4 linked regions of the Tamandua tetradactyla genome follow. The protein of the gene in region 3 binds, or shares a complex with, the protein of the main gene of each other region. Links are inferred from orthologs where the notes say so. Each region holds a gene or a part of one and is shown on either strand. Other genes may lie near its edges. The genes, in order: TUBGCP5, TUBGCP2, TUBGCP3 and TUBG2.

Region 1 (7,134 bases), on a different chromosome or scaffold from region 3:
ATACACTTTGGGCTACCAAGGATGTGTAGCCCATGGTATCTGGAGAGTGTGCCCTTGGCAGCACAAGAGATGAGTAAAGGTTACTCACTCCTTTGCCTGAAAAACAACTCTTGTTAAGCAACCAAGGTGGTATGCTTAGTTCTCCCCAAGGTGGTGGCCTTCCTTCCTGTTTGACAACGGGCCATCCCCAGGTCTATCCCAATCACAACTCCATAGGGCTGCCCCAAGTAATGGTCACCAGACTAGATGCAGTGCCCATGGAGCACTAGCCCAACACTTAGTAAAAGTGGACTCAAGCACTAACTAATTATGGTGGTGTTGTTGCCACCCTACAGGCAGAAGCCTCAGAGACAATCTTCTAAATGCAGGCTGAATGCAATGTCATGTTATGCCAGGTGTGACGGTTAATTTCATGTGTCCACTTGGTTAGGACAGGATGTCCAGCAAGCTCTGGTCTGATAGTTACAGTGAAGGTATTTCAAAGATGAAATATGGCTGATTGAATCTACAATCAACAAAAGCGATAACCTCAACAATGTGGGGAATCTCCTAATCTGATAATTTAGCAGTCTTAAAAGCCTGAACTGAGGACTTCAGAAGCAGAGAAAGCCACAGGAGGAGACTAAGGACATCATTATGTGATGGAGGACTGCCATCATCAGAATATTACCCACTTCTGGGAAGAGGCAAGCTCTGCTGATAACTTGATGTTGGACTGCTATCCTCTAAAATCATAAGGTAATAAATTTTTGTTGTTTAAGTCAGACTAGTGGGTGGTATTTGTTGTAGCAGCCCTGGCAAACAAAAAGACCAGGGTATAGCCTATTAAAAATTCTTGTCTAGAAGTTGAATGTACTTTAGGTAGGGAGAGGTGTCAACATCTGGCCAACACAACACAATCCCACACAAGCCAAAATGCAAGCACTCCAGCAACTGGCAATTCCATCCCAGCAGCCTTTGTCATATCAGAGAACCAGTTGGTTACCCAAGAGCGGTCCATTAAAGCTGATGAGGTTTTCTCAGTCATGGCTGACCCATCCTGTTATAACACTGGTGGTTCTGATTTCCCACTCTTCACCCCATTGGTGATAGAAGGATTCCTGCCCTAGGGTAATGGAAATGGTCAAACACAGAACACCCAACATTAGCCAGATGAACTCAATAGCACTTCATTAGTCATACATATTTGCAGCTTTGAGGAGAAGGATCTTGTGCCATGTAAGGTCTCACCAGGATTTCACCTGAGAACAAAGTGAACAAGCAGAGGCCATGGGGGTCAGGCATTGTAGTAAAAAAAAGGAGGTACCCACAAGAGGATGTGTTGGTTTATTTGAATAAATAAATAAATAACCCCCCATGGGCTACCAGGAGACTGGAGCCTGCTATTCAAAGATAAGAGGTACTGTGCCTGGTCCTGGTGATAATGAGGTTGTTTTGGCAAGGGCACCCATGGAAGTACAACAGGAAGGTGAACTTTAGGCCATTCAAAGTCCTCCCAGTTATACATAACAAGCCACACATAACATAAGGCCTGTCACAGTTACGTTCATGTGTCAACTTGGTCAAGTGGTAGTATCTGTTTGTCTGGTTGGGCAATGTCTGTTGCGATGAGGACATTTCATAGAATTAAATCATGATCATGTCAGCTACATCCACAGCTGATTACATTTGTAATCAGCCAAAGAGGAGTGTCTTCTGCAATGAGTAATGCTTAATCTGATCACTGGAAGCCTTTTAAGGAGGATTCAGAAGAGACAGGCAGGCTCTTCCTGTCTCGGCTGGTGAGCCTCTCCTGTGGAGTTAGTCCAGACGCTCCATTGGAATTGTTGGCTTCACAGCCTGCCCTGCAGATTTTGGACTCTGCGTTTCCACGATGATGTGAGACACTTTTATAAATTTTATATTTGCGAGTATTTCCTGTTGATTCTGTTTCTCTAGAGAACCCTAAATAATACAAGACCTTAATTTTTGGCCTTGAACCAAAGTGCATGTGTGTGTTTATATATACCGATTTTTTGGTGATGTACAGACACCAATTATTGATTTGGGTGTCAATAAAAATGAGAGCTGTATGGACAGATTTGAGAGTTATAAGCATACAGATGAGAGTTGAAACTAGAATAAAGAGATTGCCCAGGGAAAGCGTATAAGTTCTCTTATACAGAATAATTTTCCTCCTCCTTAAGGTAATCTTGTGCAATGTTATTGGTGGTATATCACTATCTAATACTATAGAAATGCAATGCAACAAGCCACATGAAAACCCATAAAATTTCTAAAAGAAAAAATTTTTAAAGAGACATATGCAGTAAGTTTTTAAATGGTTTGCTACAAGCAATAGTTAACAGAAATAAAGGCAGTTTTTATTACAAATAACAAAGGCAGTTCTCCAACCTTGGCCAGATAGTTATAAATTCCTTCTTCAGCCATTTTCCGTTATAAGCAACTGAGAGCAGGAGGCATCTTTCAAAATGACCTTGGAGCAGTGAGGTGTCATCACTTGGCCTGTGTGACAGGAAAACTTAAAAGGTCATTATGTTCAATTTCTTCATTTTTCTATACGAAACTGAACCTTGGAGAAGGATATACAACTAACCAGAGTCATGGTACCTGAAAATAAGGGTATAAAGATATACTAAGGGGTGCATGGGTGGCTCAATGCTAGAATGCTCTCACCTGATACTCTTCTGCGTCTTCAAACCTACTGTTGTGTGTGCCTAGTATATTTTAAACATCATCTAGTGTCATTTATTTCTATAATGCCTGTTATTTTTCTATATATTCTTCCAAATTCTTCTTTATGCTCTCCTAGTTTCTTCTTAGTATCTTTTATCTCTTCATGCATATTCCCATTCATTTATTTGAGTTTTTTCAGGAAATTTGTTTGAACATCTTTGATTAGCTATTCCAGATTCTATATCTCCTCTTTCAGATTTATTCTTTTGACTGGGGCATTTCTTCTTGTATTTTAATGTGTCTGGTGATTTCTTTCTTTGCTGCTATCTAGTCAACTGATCTTTCTTTTTCTCTCATTATGAGTATGTTTTTAAATAGCTTTCAAGATACATATTTTCCCCCCATTTTAAAAACCATCTGTTCTCAGTTTCTGCTAGTGGTCCTCGTAGGCCCAAGCCCCTGCTCCCTGTCACACGGGAGTCCAGGGTTCTACTCTAGGCCCATGCTCCCCTTACCCTCCACCACCCAAAAAAATAAAAGATATTACTGAATTATGATCAAAATTATCAGAAGTTAAACCATCAACCAAAATTAGCCAGAGACCATTACATATCTCTTAATAGTAACAATTAACTCTTGGAGGACTTGCCAAGTGCCTGGCTCTAAATGCTGTATGCGCACTAACTCTATTAAATAGGAATAACCCTTCTCTGCCCCACCAGAACCCTCTTTTGAGAAAACTGAGGTTGAGGGAGAAGCGACTAGCCTGAGGCCACACCCCCATTAAATGGCAGGCGGAGGATTAAGACTCTGTGTTTTCCTTTCAACCTCGAAATTATACACTTCTCTTGGTCCTGCTGTACGCACTTCGGTGTTCTTGTCTCTTTTGACAACCAAGCGATATGTGAGGCGCTTTCCTGGGTCTACGGGGATTGCAGAGCAAGAGAAAATGTTAGTTACTCTTCTCCAAAAGTTGTTTCTTGTCTATATAAATATGCTACATTTTGTCTTAAACACGAAGGTTGTATGATATATATCTTTTAAGTTCGATGAGGAGAAAATCCTTCGGCAACAATACTGTGCCTTAGAGGTGTGAGAGAACCTCCCAGGAAGCGGCGTCGGCAGCGAGCTTTCTGGAGCTCAGCGTAGGAATGGAGCTTCATGCAGGTCACACAAACGGTCTGTACCTCAAATAATGCAGTATCTTCTTTATCTTTGTATTGTTTTGTTTCCTTGTCGGTTTTCTTCTCTGCAGTATCTTCTTTAACACACTCAACTTTACTAAGTGCAAGTGGGAGACACAACACCAACATCTCACAAAAACAATACCGGCAGCATTGTCCAGAAGACATGCGCACTGACGCCCTAGTCGTCACACGACCGAAGCGCGAACTCTTGCGATAGCAACCAAACGTCGCCGAGACCCAATGCCGCGGCTGAGCTAACTCTCGCGAGAGCAGTCGTAACTCACCGAGAACTTGCATTGCTGGTGTGCGAATGCGCGGGTAGTGAGGGATAGCAGGGGCAATGGCTCGAGCCGTTCCGCCGTGGAGCTGGCTGGACAGACAACAGGAGGTGGACGTGCTGGAGCTCGTCCGGCATATGACTGGTCTGCAGGATGAGGCGGACCCCAACTTCCAGCTCGCCCTGAGCTTCGTCTGGTCCAACTTCAGGTGTGGGATGCTCACGGGCGGGGACTCTGCGCTTGGGTCTTTGTGTCCTTTTTGCCCAGCGAGCCCAGAGGAGGAGGGGCGGGGTCGCGCAACCTAGCTGTGGGATCCTCGGGGAAACCCGCATAGGCCCTGCCCTTATTCGGTGCCTTAGGGTCTTCTGTGGCCCCGTCGCGAGACACACGCGTGCTTCTACAGTGAATTGTGAGTTGTTGAGTGCCCGCCTCCCGTCTTAGTATGTGCGCTTTTAGAGAGCAGGTTCGTACTCTGTCTCTACTGTAGCCATTGCGCTTTGTGCAGTACGAGTCTTAAGAGCAAAATAATGATCACATCCTATTTAGAGTTGTATTCTCTCTCACTCCTTCTTCCTGCCCGGGCCATTCCAGATCTCCCTTACCCTGCTCTCGGTGTTTTGCCAGAGCGCTTATCAAAACACATTGGATATATCAGTTGTTTACTCTTTGTCTCCACCTTCCCCCACACCCAGCTGGAATGTAAGTTGCTGGGGAGCAAGGATCTTGGTTCTTGGTCTGTTTTGTTCATAATTGTATCTCAGCACCTAGAACAGTTCTAGACCCGTAGTACACTAAGTCACCCAATACAACCTCTAATACAGCTTCTCATTTAATTATTTTTTAAATAGCTACGATTTAGATAATTAGGTTGCAGTCGAGCGCCTACTTTTCTTTAGGGAAAATATAAATTAGACAATACTGTTGTGATCGTTACTGTAATGGAATTCCTACTAAAAGTAAGTGTTAGTGTTAACATTCTGCCCATTTAATTTCATAGAAATCGCAAACAGTTTTTTTATCTGTAATCTTGATTATCACAATAAAGTGCCTACTTGATTTATAATAAGAATAGACGGCTTTCAGATCTGTACGTTTCTGAAATGATCAACACAGTTCTTAAATGTGATTTAGAAAAGTGACACTGTCTGCAATATCTCATGTAAGACAGAAAATTAAATGTGCTATCCCAAATGATTTTTATTAATATTTTTAAATGTCAGTAGATAGATGGATATCATTTTAGTTAGGAGAACTTTAAGTTACTATCTCCTTTTTTAGATTGAGAAACTAAGTTATGATAGGTAGGGTGATGTTCCCACACAACCAGATATTGGGGTAGATTTAGATGTATTATTCACAAGTGTAATTTCCTACTTTTAAGTACGGATTGCTGACTTTGATAACCAAAAAAATGGAAAATGAGAGTTGAATAAGCTATACTGTACTGTTGAGATGCTTTAGTCAGTCAGAAAAAGGAACAATTCATGTTTACATTTTTAAAATTTTGGTCATGTTCTAGGTCCTAAAAATCCAGAAATGGATAAGATAATAAAAACTTCAGTCTTTAAGGAAAACAGGGACAAAAGGGAACAATTACAATATAGTCTTGAACAGGTGTTTTTAACTTGAGAGTCTGAAAATGGAATTCAGGTGTATGTGAATTTGGATAAGAAAATATTACATAACCTCTAGCTAAAAAGTAGTAATTCCTTCAATTATGAATGAAGGTAACAAACCATAATAGTATTAGGCTGTTAGCCTACGATTGTCACCAGTAGAGGTCACAGATTACTTTTACATCATAATATAGTTGCTGCAGATATTTCTCAATATTGCTCACTGTTACTTCAATGGTAGTTATTGAACTTAGGCTAGATCTTGTTTATTATTACATTAATAAAGAAGTACTTTAGTTAATGTACATTTTAAAAATTTTTATTGACAAAACAAAACAACGTGCAGACACCAACATTCTTAACATACAAACATTCCATACATGGTGTACGGTCAGTGGCTCACAATATCATCACATAGTAGTATATTCATCACCATGATCATTTTTTAGAACTTTTGCATCACTCCAAAGAAAGAAATAGAAAAGCAAAAGCAAAAACCCTTACGTACCATACCTCTTATCCCTCCCTCTCATTGATCACTAGTATTTCCATCTCCCCAATGTATTTTAACCTTTGTTCCCCCCTTTTTTTTATACTCCTTACCACTCCCTTTCATTGATCACTGGTATTTCAATCTACTCAATTTATGTTAACATTTGTTCCCCCTATTATTTATTTATTTTTAATCTATATTTTTTACTCATCTGTCCATACCATACATAAAAAGAACATCAGACACAAGGTTTTCACAATCACATAGTCACATGGCAAAAGCTGTATCATTATACATTAATCTTCAAGAAACATGACTACTGGAACACAGCGCTGCAGTTTCAGGCACGTCTCTCTAGCCCTTCTAATATACCTTAAACTAAAAAGGGGATATCTGTTATACATTTTTTAAGTTGACAACTGTATTTCAATATAGTAGTTTTCTTTGTTTTTATTTTTTTTTTTTTATTTTTTTATTTTTTTTTTTTTTTAAAGGAAAGACAGAGAGAAGGAAGGAAGGATAGAAGGAAGGAAGGAAGGAAGAAAGGGAAACATTTTTAAACATTTTCTTGTTTTATTGTATTCTGTTTCTCCGTTTTTGTTACATGGGCTGGGGCCGGGAATCGAACCGAGGTCCTCCGGCATAGCAGGCAAGCACTTTGCCCGCTGAGCCACCGCGGCCCACCCCTTTGTTTTTATTTTATACGTTTAGAAGATTGTTCTGGGTAGGGGTCTTTTAGGTTTCACTGTGGTATAAAAAAGATTACAAACACCTGATATAGAATGTGCTATGTTGGCGACACAGGTTATTACGGGAGGACAAAGGAACTAAACGACTGAACTGGGGAGGTGAAGGATGTGCCTGTGTCCTAAGGAAGGGATGCT
Region 2 (7,999 bases), on a different chromosome or scaffold from region 3:
GACAGGAAACTTAGCAGCACGTGCCGATGTGCACATGGGCTCAGAGTTGTATCCCTCAGCCTCCAGGAGGGATGCAGGAGGGACAGAGGTCAGGACCAGCGGGCCTGGCCATCGGGGTGAGCTGGAAGGAGTGCAGGCCCCACAAATCGGCCCTTTCCAGTCTGCCCCAGGACCAGCTGCCTGGCGGCCCTCTGCCAATCCAGGCCACCTTCCACACAGTAGCATGTGCGTCCAGCCTTCTGTCACCAGGCAAGACCTGCACTTCTCATGTTAGTTTCTTTTGCTTGAGCGTCTGCTGACGGACCTTTAGTCTTCAGCACCTTGAGCTGCTGGCACAGTGCTCCCCAGACCCAGATGGCCATCCGCTCCACTGCCCACTGCCCCAGGGACCCCGAGCTCTGGGCCTGGCTCAGGAGGGGCTGGGGCTGCAGCTGTGGTATCCAGAGCCAGAGGACACCCCACTGCCTCAGGCTAAACCCTGAGCCCCGAGAGAGAGAGAGAGAGGGAAAGAGAGAGAGAGAGCGAGAGGGCTGTGCAGGTGGGATGGGGAGGGGGTGGGACCCTTGGGGCTGGACTAGCCAGCTGACATGCCCCCGGCTCGGTGCCTGGCGGGGACGGGGCCTCTGGAAGGGGTACACCCTGGAGGGTCCCCACTTTTGCAGGTCTGGTCCTCAGACCTCTTGACTTGATGAAAACAGGGCTGATGCAGGGTGTTCTCCAGTGTCACGCTGCCTCAGCACCCCCTGCTCCACCTGCCTGCCCCAACTTCCCCACTGGCTCTTCTGCTGCAGGCTCTGCACTCCTCTGCCCACGTGTCCATGGAGAGACGTGAGATGAGGATTCACTGTGCCTGCCTGGGCCCTGGATTGGGACAGGTACTTGTGAACCTCCCGCTCCTTTGCCCTGTCCCCTTCCTGCCCTTAAGATCGGTTCAAACATCCTCCCTGCACCACCACCCCCGCCCAGTCCCTACCCACTGATTCCTCCCCTGCCACTGCCTCCCCCAGGAGGCTACGCTCCCTGTTGCATGCCCAGTGCCTAGGCCCCTGCGAACAGCCACTGCGCAGCGGACGGGACTGCAGACAGAGCACCTCCTCCGAAGCCACGAGCTTCAGGGCCGCAAGCGGAGTGTGCATGGTACCCGGCCAGCCGCCCCCGAGAGACCTGAGGCTATGTGCCCTTGATGAAACCCGACACAGAAAGGGAAACAGGCATGGGTAATAACGGCTGCGTCCCTGTTTAGTTAAAAAATACAGAAACGGAACCAGAGACCACCGGTGGAAATCATTTATCTTACATTTATCTGAAAACACAGTTCTTCTGCCGCCCAGGCCAGGGGCAGTGCATGGGCTCCCGTTGCCTCCAGCAGGGATGGAAAGCGGGCGTGCCAGGCTGGCGTTCCAGTCTGCGTGACGGACACTGACACCTGCACCAAATGACCGGGACATGGAGGGCGGCCAAGGCCCACGTCCCGCACCAGAGCTGTCGGGGGACGCGAGAAGCCGCCCACTCCTGGTGGACGCACCCCTGCTCAGGCCTCGGTTGCGCTCGCCTCTCTCTGAATCCATCACAGGTGTTGGTCTCATCTCTTGGAGCTTTTAAATCCTCGTGATGCGCCTTGACCAAAACATATGGTAGAAGGTACCCTGGAGCGGAGAGAAGGGCGTGAAGTGGCTTCTCTGCCGGCCAACAGCCCCTGGCCCTGGTCCCGAGCTTTTCTCCCCAGTGCTGACCACCCTCTTGCACTGGGACAGTGGGTGCCGGCTCCCTTATCTCCAGCTTTCTGCTACCCAAGCCCTGGGCAGTGCTTCCCGGCCCGCCTCACACCCACTTCTGGTGGGGGGACCCCCCGGGGCCGAGGTTGCCCACTGTGCAGAGCCAGCCGGCCGGAGCTGGGGTTCAGACACGCTGCCCACAGCACTCAGACACACTGCCCACGGCAATAGGACTCACAGGCTGACGTCCAGGCACTGCAGAAGGCAGCTGAGGGACACACAATCCCTCTCCTGGCAGTTTAGAATCTCTGGTGATTTTTCCATATTTCCCCCCAAAATAGAAATTAAAGCAATTTTAGCCCAAGAAAAGCATGGTTAATACTAGGCAGGTAGCCTCACCAGCTAGAATTGACCGATTAGGTACTGCCCTTTTTGTACTTCAGTTTGGGCAATGATGAAAAGGTAGACACGCTTTGCATTCCTGGGCTTCAAGGGGTTCCAAAAACAGACGACACAAAAATAAAAAATTAAATTATTCAGGAAATGGGAATACTGAAGCTTTCAACTCCAGCGAAGCAACACCCTCACCTGGAGAGTCGGCCGGTGAATGCCCCAGCTCAGGGCCAAACCCCGACTCCCCACGTGGAGCCCTGAAGCTGCCTGCCACTGACCTGCGGCTGTGCGTCCGCGTCTCCACAGGGGCCCCCGGGGGCATGGCCACCTGCTCGTCTGCAGAGACTTCCATGGCGTCCCCTTCCGACTGCTCGCCACTGCCGCCCAGGGCTCCGGCCGTCAGGGGGATGCGTGGCCCAGGTGGGGCCCGGCTGCGGAGGAGACGCCGTGAGGGTGGTGCCCTGCGCTATGCCCCCAGCCCCCAACTGCCTTGCCAGGAGCACGACTCCTCGCGAAAGTGTTTGCTCACAGAGGGAAACAGTCTAATCTTCTAGGGAACATCTCAGGTCAGCAGGAAAAGAGAACCGTTAGAGGCCAAAAGTGAACATGACACAGTAAACACAACTATTGTATAAACTCAAGTATGACAGCCACTCTGTTTCTTAAAAACTGTATTTTTAGGGGTGATGAGATAAATACGTATCAAGTCAAGCATCTGCTCATGACAACTAGTGAGAAATTTACTAAAAATAACGGGAGGCTATAAAGTATTTGGAGTGCCCCCAATACCACCCACAAGCTCCTCCGTAAGGCAATGTAGAGATTTTTTCTTTAAAGTCACCCCAGAGAAAGGAGTCACTGTAGCACAAAGCCTTACAGAGCCTCCCACACTGCAATAGTTCCCACAGCTATTCTGTCTTCAACAGCAAGGTCCCATTTAGAGAAAATAGAGTACTCTGAAAAAACTCGAATCAATGCAAATTTTGGTTATCATCAAGGTTCACTTGAAAAACAGGCTAGAAGGACCATAACACAAAGCTGGTAGATATTCCTGGAAGCTCTGCCCCAATTTCACAGGAGGGCGTCAACTGTAAACAAGCCTGACCCCACACTCTGGATGGGACACACAGGAAGGCCCCAGGCGAGAGGAACGGGCTCAGAGGCTAGATCTCTGTAGTGTGGACGTCTGCCAACCAATGACCAATTTCTGGGGGACCAGCTCCCACAATGGGAACCCCAATCCATGCCCAATGCTCTTCTCCTCTCCCACCTCCCAAAGTGGAGCCTGGACAGCCTGCTGCCCACCTGCCCGCCCTCCCTTTCAGGAGCAGGGCTGCACGTAAAACAGCCCTGCCAAGGATCTGGCTAAATGACACACGGACACTTAGCGAGAACCCACTGAAGGTGACCGAAGGACGGCCATAGCAGCACACTCGCCCAGAGCGCCACACACCCTCTGCTTGTCCTTGGCGTGTCGAACCGGAAGTCCGCAGGGTACAGGTGGAGCCGCACCATGTGGTCCTTCCGGGCCGAGCTGGTCCTGAACTTCTCCGTGCAGCCTTCCACCAGGCACTGGTACTGAAACAGGAAAGGGCCACCCGCCATCACCACGCCGCAGGTGCCTCCGCGCACCCAGAGCGCCCAGCTCTAGAGGGACACGCGGCATGGGCACCAAGGGCAGGAAGGGGTCCCTCTGGTCTTGCCCCAATGTCCTGGAGGCTGGGAGGGGCACGCTGACCTCCAGGGGACTCAGACCCAGCAGCCTCACCCAGGACTGTCTGCCACCAATGCAGCCCTAGCACCCACCCTTGGGCGGGCCGGAGGTGACCTCTCAGTGGGTGCTGGGGGCCACTCACCATGTCCTGCCTCTCAGACAGGATCTGGAAAAGCGCATCGTGCCACTCCAGGACGTGGGTGTCCAGCAGGTGTGCAGAGGGGAATGCCCGTTTGCAGAGGGAGCAGGCGTGTCTGTGCCGCGTGTGGTAGTGGTGCTCATAGTCCTTCAAGGTTTCAAACACCTGGCAGCAGCCTGCCACCTGGCAGGTGAACTCAGGCACCCTGAGCGAGGAAAACAGGCTTCGCAGGGATGCCTAACTCCACCCTGCCAAGAACGGGAACTAGGCTGTCTGTAGACAAGTTTTCTCCCACTGTTCCTTTCACAATCCCAAATCCTAATTCTATGAATAAATGTCACATAAGCTAACTGAACGGCAGAGAAGCGGTCAAGGCAAAGCTGGGAGAGATCAGGGCAGCTGGCATGGCTGGTGCCAGGAGGGTTAAAAGGTAAGGGTGGCAGTGCCCGGCCGGGTCAGGGGCTGGCAGGGGTAGCCTGGACTGGGACTGTCCTGCTCGTGCCAGCAGGGCCTCGGGGCCTCAGAGGGGTCGAGAATAGGGATGAGGGGTGCGTGCGGGGTCAGGGCCAGCACCTGGAGCAGGGCAGGAGGGCGTGGGGCGCTGGGACCGCTCACCTGCACCTCTCGGGCTCCTCGGCCACCTGTGTAAGCACGTCCTGGAGGTACAGGTGCCGCTGCACGTCCCCGTCCTGCAGGAGACACGCGCCCGTGGTCAGGGCCGGCGCTCCGCCCCCGCCGCCCAGGCCCCGCCCACCCGTAAGCCCCGCCCCACCCCAACAGCCCCACGCGCGAGTACGCACACACACTCACGCTCCCTCCGTCCCACCCTCTACTGCGCACCTCGAAGAACTCGTGCTCCCGCGGGAAGCGCACCAGGCGCGCCGCGAAGCGGAAGGGCGCCGTCGCCGCCGCGGGGTCCCTCACGACGGGCAGCGGCTCGGCCGCCACGGGGCCCCCGGCCAGGCGAGCGCGGAGCGCGGGAGGCAGCTGCATCGCCCAGGGCGCCGCCGCCCGCCCCTGCCGGCCACCGTACGGGACCCGGGCGGGGCGGGGCCGGACGTGACGTTTCGCCCCTTCCGGCGTTCGCGCGGGCTGCGGCGGCTGCGGTGCCGGCTCTGTGGTGAGTCCCGGGTCCTTCGCGGGCGCTGGCGCAGGGACCAGGCTGGCTTCCTCCGCGGCCGCATGACGCGAGGCGCCCCCCTACCGCCCCCGACCCAGGCCCCAAAGCGAGGTCCTCGGAGGGCCCCCAGACCTCGGGCCGCCCGTCAGCGCCCACCGCGCAGGTTCCCTCCCGAGGGCCGCGCGCCCCCGTGGCCGACCCCTGCGCGGGCCTCCGCCGCAGTCTCGTCTCCTGCAGACCAGTAACCGGACTGGAGCCGGTGGTCTTTGGAAAGCTCGCGTTTGGGGCCGCCATCCTTTGCTTAAAGCCCTTAAGTGCGTTCCCGTTGCCTTGGTCTGAAGCCCCCTGGGAACCTGCATCTCGGCCTTTCAGTCCCCGCCGCCCCCTCGGCGCCGTGAGGGGCCGGTCGCTGTGCCGGTGCTCGGGTGCGCGGGTGAGAGAGCCGTGTGGTCCCCGCCTGCCCGCAGCGTGCCGCGGAGCAGGAGAGAGGTGTTGACTGGTTCGGCAGTTACCTGTTAAGATGGCGATACCTGATGCCTAAGAGAAGTGCGGGGGCGCAGACCGGACGGGGAGGGAAGGGGCTGCTGAATGGGACTTGAGCTCCCCACCCCCAAACATGTCTCATCCTTGAGCAGAGCTTATAAATGTCATAGGGAGGAAAAGGGGGTGTTATTTCTTCAAGAAATTAACACAAAAATATAACTAATAAAAATGGCATAAGATTTATTAATTAAAATTTAATTAGGACCTATCTGTATAGCTCATTTGAACAATTGAAACGCAGGAAGCACAGAATAAGAAAGAGATTCTTTGATTCTGTATAGATTATTGTAATGCCTGGAAACACCCTAGAGTATATTAAGTATCAAAAAGTATTGGCACCTCAAAAAACAGTGTAAGTCTATGGGAAATATTATGTGTGTGTATAAAACCATGGTAATTAACCAGGCAGGCCGGGAGTCAGTGGAACAAGAACTGAGGGGAAAAAAAAGATGATATGAAGCAATTTTCAGGTAAAAGAATTTGTTATCAGTAGACCTGCACAATGAGAAGTGGCACTGGAAGTTCTTTAGGCTGAATGAAAATGAAATCAATGGAAGAGCAGAGGTATAGGATAGAGTAAAGGGAAGTGTTAAATTTGCAGGTAAATACAAACTACATTTTTTAAAAATTTCTTTAAGATGTATTAAACTGTTTAAAGTAAAAATTATAACGTTGAATTGTAGGGTTTACAATGCACATAGATGTAGCACATGTGAAAACTATAGAATAAAGATGAGGGGATGTTAAATGTGAAAAAGAAAAGTATTGGCAAAGTCCTCTGAGGGATGGGAGAAAATATATGGAACTATTAACCTAACCATCAGGGAATCCCCTGATACTGTGTCAAACTTTAGGGACACCCAAGTCAATAGGCCAAGCCCTTGATCATGAGGCTGACTCTCATGAAGTTTAGGTAGGTAGTGGAGAAGTTTAGCCTACCTATAGGTATGCCTAAGAGTCACCCCTGGAGGACCTCTGGTGTTGCTCAGATGTGGCCTCTCTCTAAGCCCAACTCTGCAAGTGAGATCATTGCCCTCCCCCCCTACATGGAACATGATATCCAGAGGTGAAAGTCTCCCTGGAGGCATGGGAGAGGACTCCCAGGGATGAGTCCAGCCTTGGCACTGTGGGATCAACAATTCCATCCTGACCAAAGTGGGGAAAGAAATTTAACTAAGATCAGTGGCAGCGAGAGTTCAAATAGAGCCAACAGACTACTCAGGAGGTTGCTGTTATGCAAGCTTCAGGTAGACCTTGCTACCTGTCATAACCTGCCAACCCCCAACCAGGGCCATTCCAGCCAATCCTAAAGAACACCTAGGGCAATATATAAGATTCCACAAGAGTTCCAGGCACTATAGTAACTTTCCAGGAACCAACAACCTCCAGATGGGCCCTTGGACCAGATAGGTCCTGAAACCTAGAGGGCCCAGCCTCTCCAGAACATCAGATAGTTCCATCTCCCTACCCCATATTAGTGACAGACCCTTCCAATATCAAAAATTTAGAATTGTCCATAGCCCAAACACCACAAGGAGAGGGACAGAAAGATCAAAGGTGATGGTGGAATTATACAGAGAAGATGGGACTTACCAATTAACACATGAATATAAATGCTGAATCATTAAATTGTACTAGTCTCCAGTATCTTAGAGCAGCTAGAAGTAAAAACCTAAAATTATGAAATTGTAACCCATGTCAAGCTCTGACATATGTTCTACTAATTGTGGTCCTGTGCTTTGAAATTTATAGCTTTTTTGTATATATGTTATTGTTCACAAAAAAGAAGTGGGAAAAAAGTTGATTGTGATAAAGTATTTAAGCCCTCTACCCTCCTGCATTCTGGAGCAGCTAGAAGGAAAAATCTGAGAGGACGTTATGGTAGCCCATGACAAACTCTGGAATCTGTCCTGTAACCAATTATTGAAGAGTGCTTTGAAAACCATTGCTTTTTTATTTCTTTGCTTTGTATATATGTTATACTATACAATAAAAAAGTTAAAAAAAATTTTTAATTAGGACCAAAAGTTTTGTGCCAAATCTCCCCCCAGTCAATTTTAGGCCTAAAAAAGATTCTGTTATGGACGCTGTCTTCGTTTTTCATCTCTAGTTTGCTCGCTGCCGGAATGCAATATACCAGAATCAGAATGGTTTTTAAAATGGGAAATTTAATAAGTTGCTAGTTTACAGTTCTAAGGCTGAGAAAATGTCCCAATTAAAACAAGTCTATAGAAATGGCCAATCGAAGGCATCCAGGAGAAGATACCTTGGTTCAAGAAGGCTGATGAAGTTCAGGGTTTCTCTCTCATGTGGAAAGGCACATGGTGAACACATTCACAGTTTCTCTCTTGGCTGGAAGGGCACATGGCGAGCAA
Region 3 (7,398 bases):
ATCATCATCAAAAATTTAATTATGACCTGTAAGCTCTCTCTCCTGCTTCTCTTACCCAATCCCAGGCATCCATTCATCTGCTTTCTAAAATTTTATATAGTTAGAATCATACAGTTTGTACTCTCTTTTGTCTGGCTCCTTCCCCTCAACATAATCATATTTAAATCCATCCATACTGGTGTGTGTATTAATAGTTAATTTCTTTTTATTCTTGAGTATGTATACACTACAGTGTGTTATCACATTCATCTGTTGATAGACATTTGGGCTCTTTCCACTTTGGGGCTATAACAAATAAAGCTACTATAAAAATTCATGTACAAGTCTTTCTAGGGACATATGCTTTCTTTTTTCTTGGATAAATAGCTAGACATGGAATGTCTGTCTTGTGTTAAATATATGTTTAACTGTTTTCTAAAGTGGTTGTGCCTATTTATATTTACACTAGCATTGTAAGTATGTTCCATTTCCTTCATATCCTTGCCAGTACATGGTATGGTCAGATTTTTACTTTAGCCATATTCTAATTGATGTGTAGCAGCTTTTCATTCTGGGTTTTTGCTTTTTTGGCTGCAAAAAGATTTACTGTTCATATTTGGATCACAGCTTGTTAGAGGGCTGCAAGATGTCTCCTGGATGGAGGGAGGGGCTTAGGCAGAAGTCCAGATGCTAGGGGGAATGGAGAGCCCACAGGGCCCTCTGGGCTAGGGAGGATTCTATTTGTACTTCAGAGGAGCTTTAAAAAGGGATACTCCCTCGTTGGTTGGTTGGTCAGATGGTCGCCCATCTTCTTCATGAATTTTACCCCCTCATCTAGAAGTGACTCTCCAGGGAGCCAAGGAGATAGGGTCTGTGTGTACACAAGTCAGGGCATGCAGATCCATAGCAGCCAGTTTCAGGTTCTTCTGCATGGTCATAGAGGCTTCTGTGGCATACAAGGTGTCATGGTTAGGGACAGGTGTCAACTTGGCCAAGTTGTGGTACCTGTTCATCTGATTGGGCAAGCGCTGGCCTGTCTGTTGCAATGAGGACATTTCATAGGATTAGGTCATGATCACGTTAGCTACATCCACAGCTGATTCCATTTGTAATCAGCCAAAGGGGAGTGTCTTCTGCAGTTAGTGATGCTAAATGCAATCATGGGAAGCCTTTTAAGGAGGACTCAGAGGAGACAGGTTGCATTCCTGCTTTGGCTGGTGAGCCTCTCCTGTGGAGTTCATCCAGGCCATCCATTGGAGTCATCGGCTTCGCAGCCTGCCCTGTGGATTTTGGACTCTGCGTTCCTACGGTCACGTGAGATGCTTTCATAAATTTTATATTTGCAAGTGTTCCCTGTTGATTCTGTTTCTCTAGAGAACCCTAACTAATACACAAGGTTTTACCCCACTCGTCTTGGATGGCTTTTGCACATCCTGGAAGAGGCACAGCTGCTGCACTGGTTTTGTATCTTCGAGAGACATTTGGCACCTCGGCACTTCTCCTTCACCTATGTTCTAATTTGCTAACTGCTGGAATGCAATATACCAGAAACGGAATGTCTTTTAACGAGGGGAATTTAATAAGTTGCTAGTTTACAGTTCTAAGGCCAAGAAAATGTCCCAATCAACACAAGTATATAGAAATGTCCAATTTAAGGCATCCAGGGAAAGATACCTTGGTTCAAGAAGGCCGACAATGTTCAACATTTCTCTCTCAGCTGGAAGGGCACATGGCGAACATGGTGGCATCTGCTGGCTCTCATGTGGCTCTACCAAAAAGGACTCTCTCCAAAATGTTTCCTGTTTTAAAGGATTCCAGCAAGCAACTCCACCTTCAGTGGGTAGAGACACACCTTCATGGAAATCATCTAATCAAAAGTTACCACTCACAATTGGGTGGGTCACATCTTCATGGAAGCAATCAAAATGTTCCCACCCAGCAATTCTGAATGAGGATCAAAGGGCATGGCTTTTCTGAGGTCCACCACAGATTGAGACCGGCACAACCTACTTGTTCTTCAGGGCCACAGCTCTGCAGTTGAAACAGAAGTTCAGAGAATGGTAGGTATGGGAGACTGCCAGAGAAAATTGACCAGGTGGCTGATGAATGCCTCCACTTTGCAGGAATAATTTTGGTAGATGGGGGAGCTCATGCTAGGTTGAGAAAGAGAAACTAACTACAATAAATAGTGTTAGCTGGCTCCAGAAGCAGGGAATAGCCTAGAAGGTGGTGCTGGAGCTTGCAACTGGAGAGAAAGTTGGACTATGGTTGAAAGCTGATGGGGGAAGGGGGTTAGCACCCAGATCTGTTCTAACAACTGCTGAAGCAAGAGATAGTTCCATGAGACTGCTGTGGGTGCCGTGTTAGTGTGTGTGTGCGTGCACACATTTAAATTGTCTGGTCCTAAAGTGTGGGATTTGTTTCCCATGGCATGAAACTGCTGATGTTTCTATTTTGTTTTCTTTTTTAAAGAGAACTTTATTTTGAAATATTCCAAATGTACAGGAAAGTTGCAAAAGTCTGCCACTTTTAACTGGCAAAGCTATGGATTTTTACCTCTTGCACCATGTCAAGTCTGTTCTTCTACCAGGTAAGTTGACAGTTTTTGCATCCAACCTTTTACAGGAGTCCCAGGGTACTCTCCAATCAAGCTGTGGAGGGGGGATTTAGCAGCCCTGGCAAGAAGAACACAGACTTAGATTTTTCTAAGTCAATACGTGCTTCTTAATTGTCTTTTGTTGACTTACAGTATACTGATTTGGTTTGTTTTGACAATTTTGTCTAAATTTTTTCTTCCTTCACCCCATCATCTCTTGAAGTCCTATACACTTACAATTATTTTATCTTCCTAATGAACTGGCCCTTTCAGTATTATAACATGTCCTTTTTTATCTCTGTGTCCTAGTTTCCAATTGTGTGACTAGTCTGTAGACAAGTCCAAGTCTACATCATGTTTTATATCCACCACACTGTAGCATTTTACATATTTTTTCATTTTTTAGACTGGAAGACAGAAATACATTGAGGCAAAGTTCAGTAATAGATGAAGTTGTAAGGTCACAAGAGCTCAATATGTAGTATGTTGTGCTGTGTGCTCTCTAGTTTCCTTCCCTCTCACTGTGTCTTTTTACCCTATTATGTGGATATCATGCCTGCTCTTGGGCCCAGGCAAGTATAGCTGTAGGGCTGGCAAGAAGTGCTATGGTCATATGCAACCGCTGAAACTGCAGTTTTGCTTTTGAAGTCCTGACCTTCTAAATGCCTCACTCAGAGACTGTTTTGGTCTTATGGCCCTAATGGTTTTCCTATTCCTAGCATTCAAGTGGAATAAGAGCACAGGTATTAACTGTCTAGTACAGCAAAAGACTTTCTTCAGTGTCTTGGCCCTCAACAGGCACCTATTATGGTATCGTCTGCCATCCCCTAGTTCAAGGAGGAAACTTTTCCATAGTCCTAGGTAGAGGAGTTTTGAGTTTTTCTGTGACCGTGATGAGGAGAGTGAGTAGAGGGTTGATTTGCTTTCTTTCTCACTTACTTCACTTGATTGTTTGAAGGTGCCTTGTTTATCCATGTTATAGCTCAGGTCATCCTGAGATACAAATTCTTTTGCTCTTAATTCTAAATTCCCTGGAAAGAAACGTTGGTTGGTCCAGTTTGGGACAAGTACCCAGCCCTGGTCTAATCAACTGTAAAAAGCTGCCAGGATCTCTTGCCTTGGGCCAGCTAGCTGATATGTAGATTGGATCATTAGTTTCATTTAGTTCCAGAATTGGGAAGTTTTCAGTGCCTTTGTCTCCCTTGTGGAGCCTGTGTAAGCTTGAATGATGTAACTGCCGGCTTATTTATCTTTTTCTCCTCAGGCCTTTTCCTCTTCTCTCACTTTTCTTCTGGATCTTACTCTTCGGATGATGTCATAGTTAAACGGGTATTGAGGTAGTGGAGTCGGTGAAGGTTTGGGGCTGGGAAGTCAGTATAACTAAAACCATGCCCTGTAAATAGTCCCATGCTCTGCTTATAAGAGCCCGCTTTGGTCACAGCAGATGTGAAATGCTAAACCAAACGTTAAAAACCATAGAACTCTCGTACTTTAAACAGGCAAGAATGACTCAAACCAAGGTAACTAAAAAAAGCCCAAAATTATGGACTATAAAGGCCCTACTGACCACCAAGCACTCTCATAGAAAGTCATTCACAATCATGAACCTTTGAGCAACGTTCTAAAAAAGTCCAGGAAACGTTCTGAGAAGCATAAAGCAGTACTACTGATACAAAAGCTTAGTAAGGTGGTCAATTTGCTAGCCGGAACTTTTCTGGCCCGCTCGATGGTGGTCGTGGGAAATTTTGCGGAGACGGGAGAGGGGGATCTTTTAAGTCGTTGCACGCGCAAGGCCTGGAGCCGTGGGGGAAGACGAAAGGCATTGTGGGGGCTGGCTAGCAGTTTCGGCGGGTTCTGTTAAAATGGCGCCCTTTACACCGGCGGTCTCTATATTTTAGCCTGTCAGGGGAGGACGCCGGAGCCCAAGCGCGAGGCGCGGAGAGGGGCTAGCGGCGCTGAATGTCAGGAGGGTTCCTGTGTGCAGCAGCGGCGGGGTCAACGCGGAGTCCCCGGAGCGTGCTCCACCTTGGGGAGGGTGGGGTGCAGCTTGTGGGTGAGTGACAGGGGCAGTCCACCTGGGTCCGGCCCGCTTGCGTCCCAACCTCCGTTTGTCTGCGTTTTCAGTCCCGAGGCGAGGATGGCGACCCCGGATCAGAAGTCGCCGAATGTTCTGCTGCAGAATCTGTGCTGCCGAATTCTGGGCAAAAGCGAAGGTAACCGCGCCCGGGCCGCAGGAGCGAGCGCCGCAGGGGTGGGACCGGGCGGCTTGGGACTCGGAGATCTGTCCCGGAGGCCGCTCTCTTCTTGTCCGGGCTGTGAGACGTTCCAGCAGGCTCAGGAGGAGGACAGGATTCGGCGTCAGGGCAGGGGCTGGGATCCCTCAGGCCAGCGGTAGCGGAACCTTGAAGGGTTGCCGAAGGCCTGCTAGATGCTTCGGTCACTGCTGAGGCGGCCCGGAGCCGCGCGGTTGGCCAGCGACAGGAGAGAGTACTGGGGTGTAAGGGATCTGGGGGCCTCGAGAGCAGGCTGAGTCCCGGTCTCAATAGGCCTTGATCTGTAAGATGCAAGAGTGAATTACGGAGGAATACTGTCGGGTTGCGAATTTATCCGCCTTTTCTAATGTCACATAGCGGGGTGGATGCTTTGCAGTTTTTTTTTTTTTTTTTTTTTTTTTTACTGAGTGGAGTTAAAAGAAGGGGTAGAACTGGTTCCCAGTTACACGTGCCTGATTGCTGCAAGAGTGACGTTCGCATCCTTTGGAACAGAACACCACGGAGCAGCGTCGGGGGAAGGTTAAGGCTAGCCACAGGTGTTACCTTTGTCGTTAGGAAAGTGTAACGGATTTGAGTATAATGTAAAGGAGGTATTTGTGACTGTTACCTGTCAGGTTTTTCTACTATAAAGGGTTGAGGGTTGGGTTTGATGTAAAACTGTCCCAGGAAAGTTCGCATAGCGAATATTGTTACTAAGAAGCAAAACCAAAAACCAGTCCTTTACAATATGTAAAGCCACTCTTGGGCCGTGGCACTTAAAATAAGTGGTGTGGTATGTAACCTCTTTGGGTGTGTGTGTGGGGGGGTGTGTATGTATGTATATATACTTTTTTTTTTAAATTTTTTTGGGCGTGTAGGGTGGTGATGCACAGAAGGGAATTTTCCAAATTGAACCACCTGGTTTATTTATTCCTTAAGCACTGGATTGTAGAAATGAAAATGTACAAGTTTTGAGGGAAGACTTTTAAAACGTTTCATGTTAACAAAGTTGTGAGACTGCATTTTGACCTTTCTTTCATGACTCGTGACCATTAGTGTGTGAAGTTCATTAGTTATGTGATAACTTTAGGAGCAAAAGATACTTTTTTTTTTTTTTTTGCCACTATAGTAAATGACTGCCTTCATGGTTCTTGCTACATTTTGCAAGTGTTTCACTTTATCCCTTTATTCATCCTAGAAATATTTTGAGCATCCCAGGCATTGTGGTGGTGGTGTGATACAGAAATGAACAGAATAGACAATTGTCTTTCCTCTTATAGAGTGCACATTATAGTAGAGGAAACAGGTGATAAAATATAAATAATTAATGTTAATTAGTGGTAAGTGTTACAATGAAAAATAATGTAGGTAAAGGAATAGAGAAGAGGTCAGGGAAAGCCTCTGAAGAGTTACTTAAACAGAGATCAGAATGGAGTGAGGGAGGGCCTTGTGAATACATAGGGAATATTCCAGATAGAGGGAAAAGGTTCAGTGGCCTTGAGGTATATTGGTGTACTGTCTTCTGGTTTTTTCTCTCTTTTGTATGTGTATCCCTAGCACTCTCAGTTACCTTTCTAATTTCATGTTCATAGTTATAGGAGAATCCAGATCACTAAGATTGTTAATTATGGCTAATCCACTTTAACGCCTTTGTTTTATCATAGCAGTGGTTCTTAAATTTTTCCTTCAGAGATAAACCATGCATTCATATATTTCCATTACCATAACTGGATTTTGAGAATTTTTGTTCACTTGAATTGTTTGTTATTTTTAATTTTTAATTTTTTGGTATGCTGTATGGCAGGGTTAAATTTCATTATTTTTCCATGTGAGTATCCTGTTATTGCAACACCATTTGTTGAATTTTTGTTTGTTTGTTTTTGCTTGTTTGTTTTTTTAGGGGGGATGTGCATGGATGGGGAACCAGACCCAGGTCTCCCACATGGCAGGCAAGAATCCTACCACTGAATTAACCTTGCACCCCTGAATTGTTTATTTTTGTATATTTTTAAATTCAGCTGTCATCTTTTACCTGAATGTATGTATAACCTTTTTGAGATACAGAGGACAACCATCTTTCATTTAAAAGTTCTTGGGCCTACATCTTGGTGTGCTTTGGAGCCTTAACCTTTGGAATTGAGATAGTGCAATTCCAGTTGAGCTTCTTGCCTTGGTTTTTCACTTCCACTAGTCTTTTCTATACTATAGTCACAGGGCCCTTCCTAGAAAACAAATCTAATGACGTTTGTTGAGGAAACGTATTTTTTTCTCTCTCTATAATCCTCAGATTGAAGGCCAAATTATTTGTCTTGTTTAAAGTTTAAAACTGTGGATGCTTTATTGAGTTTTGATTTTAATGCTGTGTGTATACCTTGAGATAGTGTATTTAAGTCTCAAAACAGTTCTGGGAGGTCTGTGTAGATATTATTAACCTTATTTAATAGACTAGAAAACTAAGACTTTGCTCACTGTCATCTGGTTTATGAATTGCAGAGCTAAGATTGGATCCACTCTCTGCGTCTACAGTTTATTTTCGAGTAATTCATTCTTGCCCTTCAGTGTAGAATTTTT
Region 4 (7,782 bases), on a different chromosome or scaffold from region 3:
ACCTTTTTCCAATCCCTTATTACTCCATCTTTCTGCAGCCTCTGATGTCAAACTATTCCCCCTTGGAACATTCTCCTTCCTAGGCTTCTGCTATACCCTTCTCTATGTCTGTGCATTCAGATACAAATAAAATTTGAATTGATTATCCAAATCAAATAGCTTGAACCACAAGGAAAATATATCTCCTATTTCAAGAAGTCCAGGTATCAAACCATGGTTGATTAATTTGATGGCTCAGCAGTCATCGGGATCTAGGTGCCTCCCATCTTTCTGTCCTACCATCCACAGCATGATGTTTTGTCCTCAAAATGCTCTCTGCATGGCTGAAAGTGCAGCAGTTCCAGGTGCCATATCTAAATGTAACAACATGCAGCTAAAGAAGAGAGTATGTCCTTTCCTGTTGGCTCTTCATTCTTAATTAGTGAGGAGATCTTTCACCAGAGCCCCCAGAAGTCTTTTCCTCACAAGTCATTGGTCTGAATTCCATCATGTGTCCCTTCCTAAATTAGTCCCTGGCAAGAAAATTATGATTACTCTGATTGGCTTGGACTAATCAGGATCACCCATGAGCCACTTGGAGAAAAGATAAGATGCAGAACAAAATGGGCTCTGTCCAAAACTAAGAGGGTAGACAACCAAACCTGTACACACTAGTTTTTCTCCCTCTTTTCTGCTTGCTCCTTCATTTTCCTTTGCCATGAAATCTTCCTTCCTACCACTTAACTGTTGAATTCTACCAGATTCTATTCTGAGTCCTCTTCCAATCTAGGACCATCCTGCACCGTGCATTCTCTCTTGTGACCCTATTCATTGTGTGCCTTTAACCACTGCCTGGACAAGGATGGCTGTACACCCAGATCTCTCACCTTAGCTCTAGGCCTGTGCACTCTCTGTTACCTCTGGGACCCCTAAATCCATCTAGACATCCCCAGGTCCCCTAAAACCCCACTTGTTCAAACACATTCCTCCTGATTTCCCTGTGTCTCAATAAATGGCTCTACCTTCACCCAACAACCCAAGATGATCTCAATTTCCCCAGCTTATAACTGGGTGCCCACACATTACAGGCGCACAATACAAGAATTAACAAATGGCCCACACACAGGCTTACTTCTTATTTTGGTTTACTTCCTATTCCTTGAAAAACCATACGGAACAAGTCAGCTGTTTCATTCTATTTCATAGTCAAAATGTGAATTTAGCAAAACTCCCCTTACATGAAGAGCTTCAGCTCTTTCTCGTCACAGTTTTAATTTTCCCTTGCCTTCACTTTGAAAATTAAACTCCATGGGGCCACAGAATCCCAGTCTCATGCCTAGAATTGACTCTAACTACCTGTTTTTCCATGAAATGCACACTGCTCTTTCTCCCAGGCCCTGAGATACACCCTCAGTCCACCACCTCACCCTTCTACCTCTAACCTCCAAAATATACCTGTGCTCTTGACAGTACATGCAGGCATCCAGGAAAGGCCAGAAATGAAGATGTATCAAAAAATTTTTTTTATTCAATATGGAGTGTCCAATCAAGACTCTGGACATTTAGCAAACTTCTTAGTTATTTACAAATGCTACATTTATTATCAGATGCAGAGCAAGGCCTCAGACAAAGGAACGCCACATCCCACTACATTGTCATAATCTGGGTCAGAGAACATGGAGCCAAGAAAATTAAACTCAATACTTAACTACGGGTAATGACCTTGAGACCCTAGATTTGAAATCCAGGAGATAATGAACGTGGTTCTTTCATTCAACCTCAGTAGAAGTTACAGCTGAAACTGAATATGACCAATCATTGCGTTTTATTTATTTTTAATGTATTTAAAGTAAATATCAACTTTACTTTTATCTTGAATAAAATCTTTCATCTATAGTTGTAGCCAAGTTGTACTTCAGTTCCAGCTGCACGCAGGGGTAATGACAGCAGTTGATATTTGTTGAGTGCTTACTATAAGTCAGGCACCATGCTAAGTGCTCATGTATTATCTCATTTAACTGATATGGATGTCAGTTCTCAGCAGAAATGGAAAACCATAGTCTGCTAAGAACTGGAAGGATTTACATTCAGCTCTCTAAGGTGCATAAGCATCTGCATTTCCAAGCTATTTCTACCAGACTGAGAAGAGCCTCCGGCTCATCAGAGATGACTTATTACACAGCAACTTTTCCAACTCAGATAAACTCACACGTTCTAACCTGCTTGCCTATAAACTGGGATTTGAAGGAGTTTTTCACAATTCTGGGGACCAGGAAGTGGAAAGCATCGTTATTAATCACATGAAAAGATAAAAATTAACTCATGTTTTGCAAGAGTTCATAAACTACTTATAGCTTGTTATTATTTTAAAGGAAGCAAACTGAGCCTTAGAAAACTCACAAGGCAGGGAGGCCTGGCAAGTTTGCTCTCATCTCTGAAGCCTTCCTCTTCACCCCTTGGCAGACGCTGAGCTCTGTAAAGGTCTTGGCAAAGCCTCTGAAGACAGCCAGATCTTAGGGAGTGATCCAGTTGGAGGAAGAGTCTCTGAGGCTCAGAGAGTTGCTTAGACTCCACCTTTAAACTTCAAAGGAAGTAGCAGACCCTCCCCAAAAGGTCACGTCTACTGGTCCCCCTGAGGGATGCCTAAGATTTTCTGACAGGCGAGAGGTGGAGGAAGCTGGCTAGAAGGCCCTGGTGGGGTGAGGGGAGTGAAATTGAACCAAAGCTGGGGAAGGGACAGAAGTGGGCCTGAGGATTCCAGGAGGGTGGGGACTGGAAGGCGGCCTAGTTCTTTTGAAAGAGAGAGAGAAAGAGTGCTTTTACCAGTGCCTCTGCAGACAACTTGCAAAGAAAGCCCAGCAGACAGGGACAGACAGACAGAACACATCGGTGAGGATTTGGAATGTTCCTTGGGGTGCAGGAGACTGCATGGGCTCTTTAACAATTGGTTTGGAGACAATTGGACATCCCTATGGAAAAGATAAAATAGAATGCTATCTCACAGCAGGCCTCCAAATAAATTCCAGACGAACTGAAGACCCACAAGGAACAAGTAAAACTAGTATGAAGCTTTTGGGGAAAAAAACCATAAAAGAATAACTTATGATACTGGGTTAGGGAAAGGTTTCTTTAACAAGGAATAAAACATGCAAAATATAAAGGAAAAGATAGATAACTTTGCCCACATTAAATCTCTATAACAATCTCGTGATATTCTATGCAAAGTGAAAAGACAAGCCATCAACCAAGAGACAATATTTGCAACTCATAGAACCGAGGCAGATTACTAGAACATCTTTAAATGCATACAAATCAATAAGAAAAAGAGAAGCAACCCAGGAGAAAAAATGGGCAAAAGATACAAACAAGCATTTCACAGAGGAAGAATCCTGAAAAGCCAGTAACAAAAGAAAAATGAAACAATAGCAATTAAAGCAATACATGATCCTGGACAGGATCTAATAGAGGAGGAGAGAAGGCTCAAAAGGACATTATTGGGACATATGAAAACATGAATATAAACTGTAAACTTTACATCAATGTTAAATTTCTTGGACTTGATAATTGTACTTGAGGTGGACACATAAAATGGAATATCCTTGTTTTTAAGAAATGTTTTTGACTGTATTAAGTATTCTAGGAGCATGATGTATACAACCTATACTGAAGTATTCAGAAAATGAATTGTTAGAGAGGCAAACAGATGGATGAATTGATAGATTGATAGGTAGACAGAATGATATGGCAAATGTGACAAAATGTTAAAACTAGTAGGTCTAGGTATGTGAGGGAATAGGGATATGTTGAAGTTCTCAGTGTGGAGTTCGTATTATTTTTGTAACTCTAAATTTGAAAGTATTTTTTAAAAAGTTTAAAAGAAAAAAGAAAAGAACAGCAACTTCACTAGTGACAATAACTGGAAATTACAACAATGAGATCTCATTCAGCATCCATAGAATTATGAAAAATTAACATCTGATAGCCCAAGTGTAGAGATGGGAATTCTATTGCTGGAAGAGAGTAAATTAATATGACCATCTTGGAGAAAATATGCAAAACCTAGTAAATTTGAAACTGCACAAGCCCCTTCTAGCAGCATTTTCCCTCATGCTCATAAATGGACAAGTCCTGTGCTTCCTCTAATAGGGAATAAATGGAAGCAATCTAAGCCCTTCTATTTGGAAATAGAATAAACTGGTTTTATTCACCCAACGAAATACTACACAACAATTAAAGGGAATGAAATAAATCTACAAGTGTCAATATGGCTAAATCACAAAAACCCAATGTATGGTGATAGGGTAAAAAAAAAGGAGGTTGCAAAAGGATATTACACTGTCATCATTTATATAAAAATTTTAAAATACATATATAAAATAAGATATACATAATATAAAAGTTGCCAGAATAATAATTTTAAAGTGTGTAATTCAGTGGCATTAAATACAATTACAAAACATTTTAAACATAAAAATACAATATCGTACTTGTATGTTTGCAAGTTTTCGTAAAATTAAATTTAAAAGAAGAGAGTTTGTTTGGACCCAGCTCCTCTCCCTAGCAGATTCCGCAGAGCCGCACATCTACCCCCCTACAGCTAGCTCCACACATCTGGAGCGTCTGGCTAGTACGCGACGGCGGCCCAGCCTCTCCCCTCCCCCAGATTCCGGTCGCGACCCTGCGGGTCCCCGCCCCCCCCGCCCCCGCTGCCTCTCAATGCGCAGGCGCGGAGCGGGGAGCGGGAGGGGGCAAGGGGGAAGGGCGTGGCCTCAGTCTGCGCCTGTGCCGAATTCCAGCTGTAATTGCTGTGGGAGAAAATGATGCTCAGGTCTGGCTCCCCGGCAGGCCGGCCGAGGGGAGGCCCCTACTGCACACGCGCAGACCGAACACCCGCGTCAAGAGACCAGGAGAGTGTGCTTCCCACGTCCTGCGCACCCCGCTGTCAAGCACTCGTCTCTGCTACGACTCCTGCCCGGGGGTGCTGAGCGCCCACGTCTGAAGAGTGATGCCCCGGGAGATCATCACCCTGCAACTGGGCCAGTGCGGCAACCAGAGTGAGCGAGTGCAGGGTCCCCTCAGCTCCGGTTCTGCCCCTTCGGGTTCCACCCAAGTGCTTGGCATCCTACAGTCCTCCTTTCCCTTCCATGCATCCCTACCCTAATGCGCGTGATGAACGGAGCCCCAGACCAAAAGCGGCCCCCAGGCTGTGCGGGGTCCCGGACCCAGGCGTCTTGAGCGCCCTCTCCAAGTGTGACAGTCTCTGTCCCCCACCCTGGGCTTCTTAGTTCTTACGGCTCTAGCAGACCGAGGCATCTTCACCCTTCCCCCCAGTCGGATTCGAGTTTTGGAAACAGCTGTGCGCGGAGCATGGTATCAGCCCCGAGGGCATCGTGGAGGAGTTCGCCACCGAAGGCACTGACCGCAAGGACGTCTTTTTCTACCAGGTGCCCCCAGCGATTTTGGAAGGGAAGGGCACTGGCCTGGGATCTGGAAACCGGCTGGCAGAGGGGCCAGGGCTTGAGGAGAGGGGGGCAGGCAGGAGCCAGGGTTGGGTTGTGGGAGCACTGGTTAGGCCCCAGCTGACTGGGTCCCGGCCTGGACTCCCCTGCTCAGGCAGATGATGAGCACTACATCCCGCGGGCTGTGCTGCTGGACCTGGAGCCCCGGGTGATCCACTCCATCCTCAACTCCCCCTACGCCAAGCTCTACAACCCAGAGAACATCTACCTGTCGGAGCATGGTGGAGGAGCAGGCAACAACTGGGCCAGTGGATTCTCCCAGGTGCCTAAACAGGCCATCCCAGAAGACACCCCAGGTCAAGGCAGGTTTAAGCAGCCTGGGGATTTGACCGGATCAGAGTAACAATAAATGAAAGACAAAGGGGGATACTCTGACTAGAGGAAGAACTGGGAAGAGGTTTATGCAAATTGTGTGCAAATTATTTGCCAAGTAGCAGCTGCAGTTTGAGGACCACATCTGAGGCTCTGCTTGAGGGTGGCAGCAATGTCCCAGGGTAGAGCTTTTGGTGTTGAAAAGAGATGCTCCCCAGAACCTTCTCACCGTGATCCTTCCTCCACACATTTCTACTCAGGGTGAGAAAATCCACGAAGACATCTTTGACATTATAGACCGAGAAGCAGATGGAAGTGACAGCCTAGAGGTGAGGCTCTCCCCTGCTGAAGGAAAAACCTGGAGAGTGCTGGGGAAAAGTCAGGAGGTGGCCTGAACAGTTGGTGTGATGAGGCAATTTGAAACCTATCAATTGAGCATCAGATGTAGAGTACTGAGAGATAAGGGACAAGCTTGTCCTCACATGCCACAATCTGAGTGCCATCAGCCCCTTAGGCATGAGTCATTCAGCCTCTGCTCAAGGCTCTGAACCTGGATGGACACACAGGAAGCCTCCAGACATGGGTATGTTGTGCAATGAGACAAGCCTGAAGCTTCTCCACCCCTCCCCATACAGGGTTTTGTGCTATGTCACTCCATCGCCGGGGGGACAGGTTCAGGCCTGGGCTCTTACCTCCTGGAGCGCCTGAATGACAGGTGAGCCCATGTTTCGGGAGAGGGCATTAGCCCTGGTTCCCTAGGTGATGTCCTTCCTTTTTGTCACCTCTTCTATTGAACTGGAAGGTATGCCACTACCTCTTTTGAGTCATAAGGACAGAGCCTGGCCACCCAAGCAGCATCTTGGAAGCAATGACTCAGGGGATGGCAGGTTCAATGCTTGCGGCTTGTCCTTTCTGGCTCCTGAGCTCTGAAGATACATTTCTACCCTTACTTCCTCAATCCAAGAATTTGGTGATGCTTGTAGAGGAATGGCTCCTGTTGTCCCTAGAGAATAAAGAGATGGGCAGTGATGGGGAGCCTCCAATTCACTGTGCCGCCCTCCCCTCCCCCTACCCTCAGGTACCCCAAGAAGCTGGTGCAGACGTACTCAGTGTTTCCCAACCAGGATGAGATGAGCGATGTGGTGGTGCAGCCCTACAACTCCCTGCTCACGCTCAAGAGGCTGACCCAGAACGCAGACTGTGTGGTGAGCACAGAACAGAGCTGGGGCTTTGGTCAACCTCTCCAAACCAGGGGATCACATACACTCTGCCCTGCCCATGCCCCTTTCCAGAGAACAAAATCTTATGAGCTGAATTCTGAAATCATATCCAACCCTCAAGTTGTTTACAGTCCCTTTAGGCAGCAAGACTCTCAACAGAGCAAACCTCCCACCCAGCTGCCCCCACTATGCCTGCTTAATGCCTACTCATGCTCGGATACTCAGCTCAGGGGTCACTTTCTCCTGGAAATCTCTGACCATCCAGTCAAGGTCAGATTCCTTGAAGCATATTTCAGATTGTAGCTATAATATTTGTGTTTTACATTTAATGTCTGTTTCCCTTCACTAGACTGAAGATCTGGTGAGGGGAAAGACCATGCCTGTTTTTCTGTCCATTGTACCTCCAGGCCAAGTAAAATGCATGACACAGAGAGAGAAACTAAAATATTTGTTTACTACACTGGACACTAGAAAAGTGTCTTGGGTGCCCCAGAGACTACTAATTCCTGATTTTGGAGTTTAGGTCTAAGCTAATATCAACTTTCTATGTCCCCTTTTTCCTCAAAAGTTACTGTGGCCCTCTTCTGTCCCCGCAGGTGGTGCTGGACAACACGGCTCTGAACCGGATCGCCACTGACCGCCTGCACATCCAGAACCCGTCCTTCTCCCAGATCAACCAGCTGGTGTGGCCCCACCCTGGACCTCCCTGCACCAGCGCCCTCCCTGCTGGTGGGCTGTCTGGGGAAGGGAGG

The links.
Region 1: TUBGCP3 (region 3) and TUBGCP5 share a complex: the UniProt entries of both Homo sapiens proteins name them as parts of the gamma-tubulin ring complex. The link is inferred for Tamandua tetradactyla from reciprocal best matches to the Homo sapiens genes TUBGCP3 and TUBGCP5.
Region 2: the proteins of TUBGCP3 (region 3) and TUBGCP2 are in contact, whole or in part, in a cryo-EM structure (PDB 8Q62), measured with the Homo sapiens proteins. The link is inferred for Tamandua tetradactyla from reciprocal best matches to the Homo sapiens genes TUBGCP3 and TUBGCP2. Residues at the interface, in NP_006313.1 of Homo sapiens: Glu272, Asn273, Cys274, Ser286, Leu287, Asp289, Thr290, Val292, Arg293, Glu296, Trp299, Ser361, Thr363, Leu364, Arg365, Leu368, Val369, Tyr372, Lys375, Ile376, Lys379, Ala382, Ala383, Asp386, His387, Ala402, Tyr403, Lys405, Thr406, Gly407; in NP_006650.1 of Homo sapiens: Gln172, His173, Pro175, Ile176, Phe177, Pro178, Trp180, Arg184, Ala186, Leu187, Ile188, Gly189, Phe191, Leu222, Tyr223, Val226, Val228, Asp229, Gly230, Arg231, Glu278, Ser281, Phe283, Gln287, His290, Ala291, Ala294, Arg297, Val300, Lys301.
Region 4: TUBGCP3 (region 3) and TUBG2 share a complex: the UniProt entries of both Homo sapiens proteins name them as parts of the gamma-tubulin ring complex. The link is inferred for Tamandua tetradactyla from reciprocal best matches to the Homo sapiens genes TUBGCP3 and TUBG2.

What each region holds. Positions count from the first base shown.
Region 1 is NC_135338.1:74,105,858-74,112,991, forward strand, and holds the start of TUBGCP5 (gamma-tubulin complex component 5), read left to right. Parts: upstream 1-4,123; 5' UTR 4,124-4,203; coding exon 4,204-4,349; intron 4,350-7,134. UniProt on the Homo sapiens protein: Component of the gamma-tubulin ring complex (gTuRC) which mediates microtubule nucleation.
Region 2 is NC_135339.1:95,751,038-95,759,036, reverse strand, and holds the start of TUBGCP2 (gamma-tubulin complex component 2), read left to right. Parts: upstream 1-4,989; 5' UTR 4,990-5,081; intron 5,082-5,602; exon of another isoform or gene 5,603-5,627; intron 5,628-7,999. Other genes in the region: ZNF511 (zinc finger protein 511), read right to left, coding at 1,583-1,646, 2,387-2,539, 3,562-3,686, 3,965-4,166, 4,577-4,650, 4,802-4,954. UniProt on the Homo sapiens protein: Component of the gamma-tubulin ring complex (gTuRC) which mediates microtubule nucleation.
Region 3 is NC_135330.1:182,786,845-182,794,242, reverse strand, and holds the start of TUBGCP3 (gamma-tubulin complex component 3), read left to right. Parts: upstream 1-4,387; 5' UTR 4,388-4,712; coding exon 4,713-4,788; intron 4,789-7,398. UniProt on the Homo sapiens protein: Component of the gamma-tubulin ring complex (gTuRC) which mediates microtubule nucleation.
Region 4 is NC_135332.1:24,574,749-24,582,530, reverse strand, and holds the start of TUBG2 (tubulin gamma-2 chain), read left to right. Parts: upstream 1-4,772; 5' UTR 4,773-4,984; coding exon 4,985-5,033; intron 5,034-5,310; coding exon 5,311-5,423; intron 5,424-5,592; coding exon 5,593-5,760; intron 5,761-6,070; coding exon 6,071-6,139; intron 6,140-6,415; coding exon 6,416-6,525; intron 6,526-6,888; coding exon 6,889-7,015; intron 7,016-7,626; coding exon 7,627-7,713; intron 7,714-7,782. UniProt on the Homo sapiens protein: Tubulin is the major constituent of microtubules, protein filaments consisting of alpha- and beta-tubulin heterodimers. Gamma-tubulin is a key component of the gamma-tubulin ring complex (gTuRC) which mediates microtubule nucleation.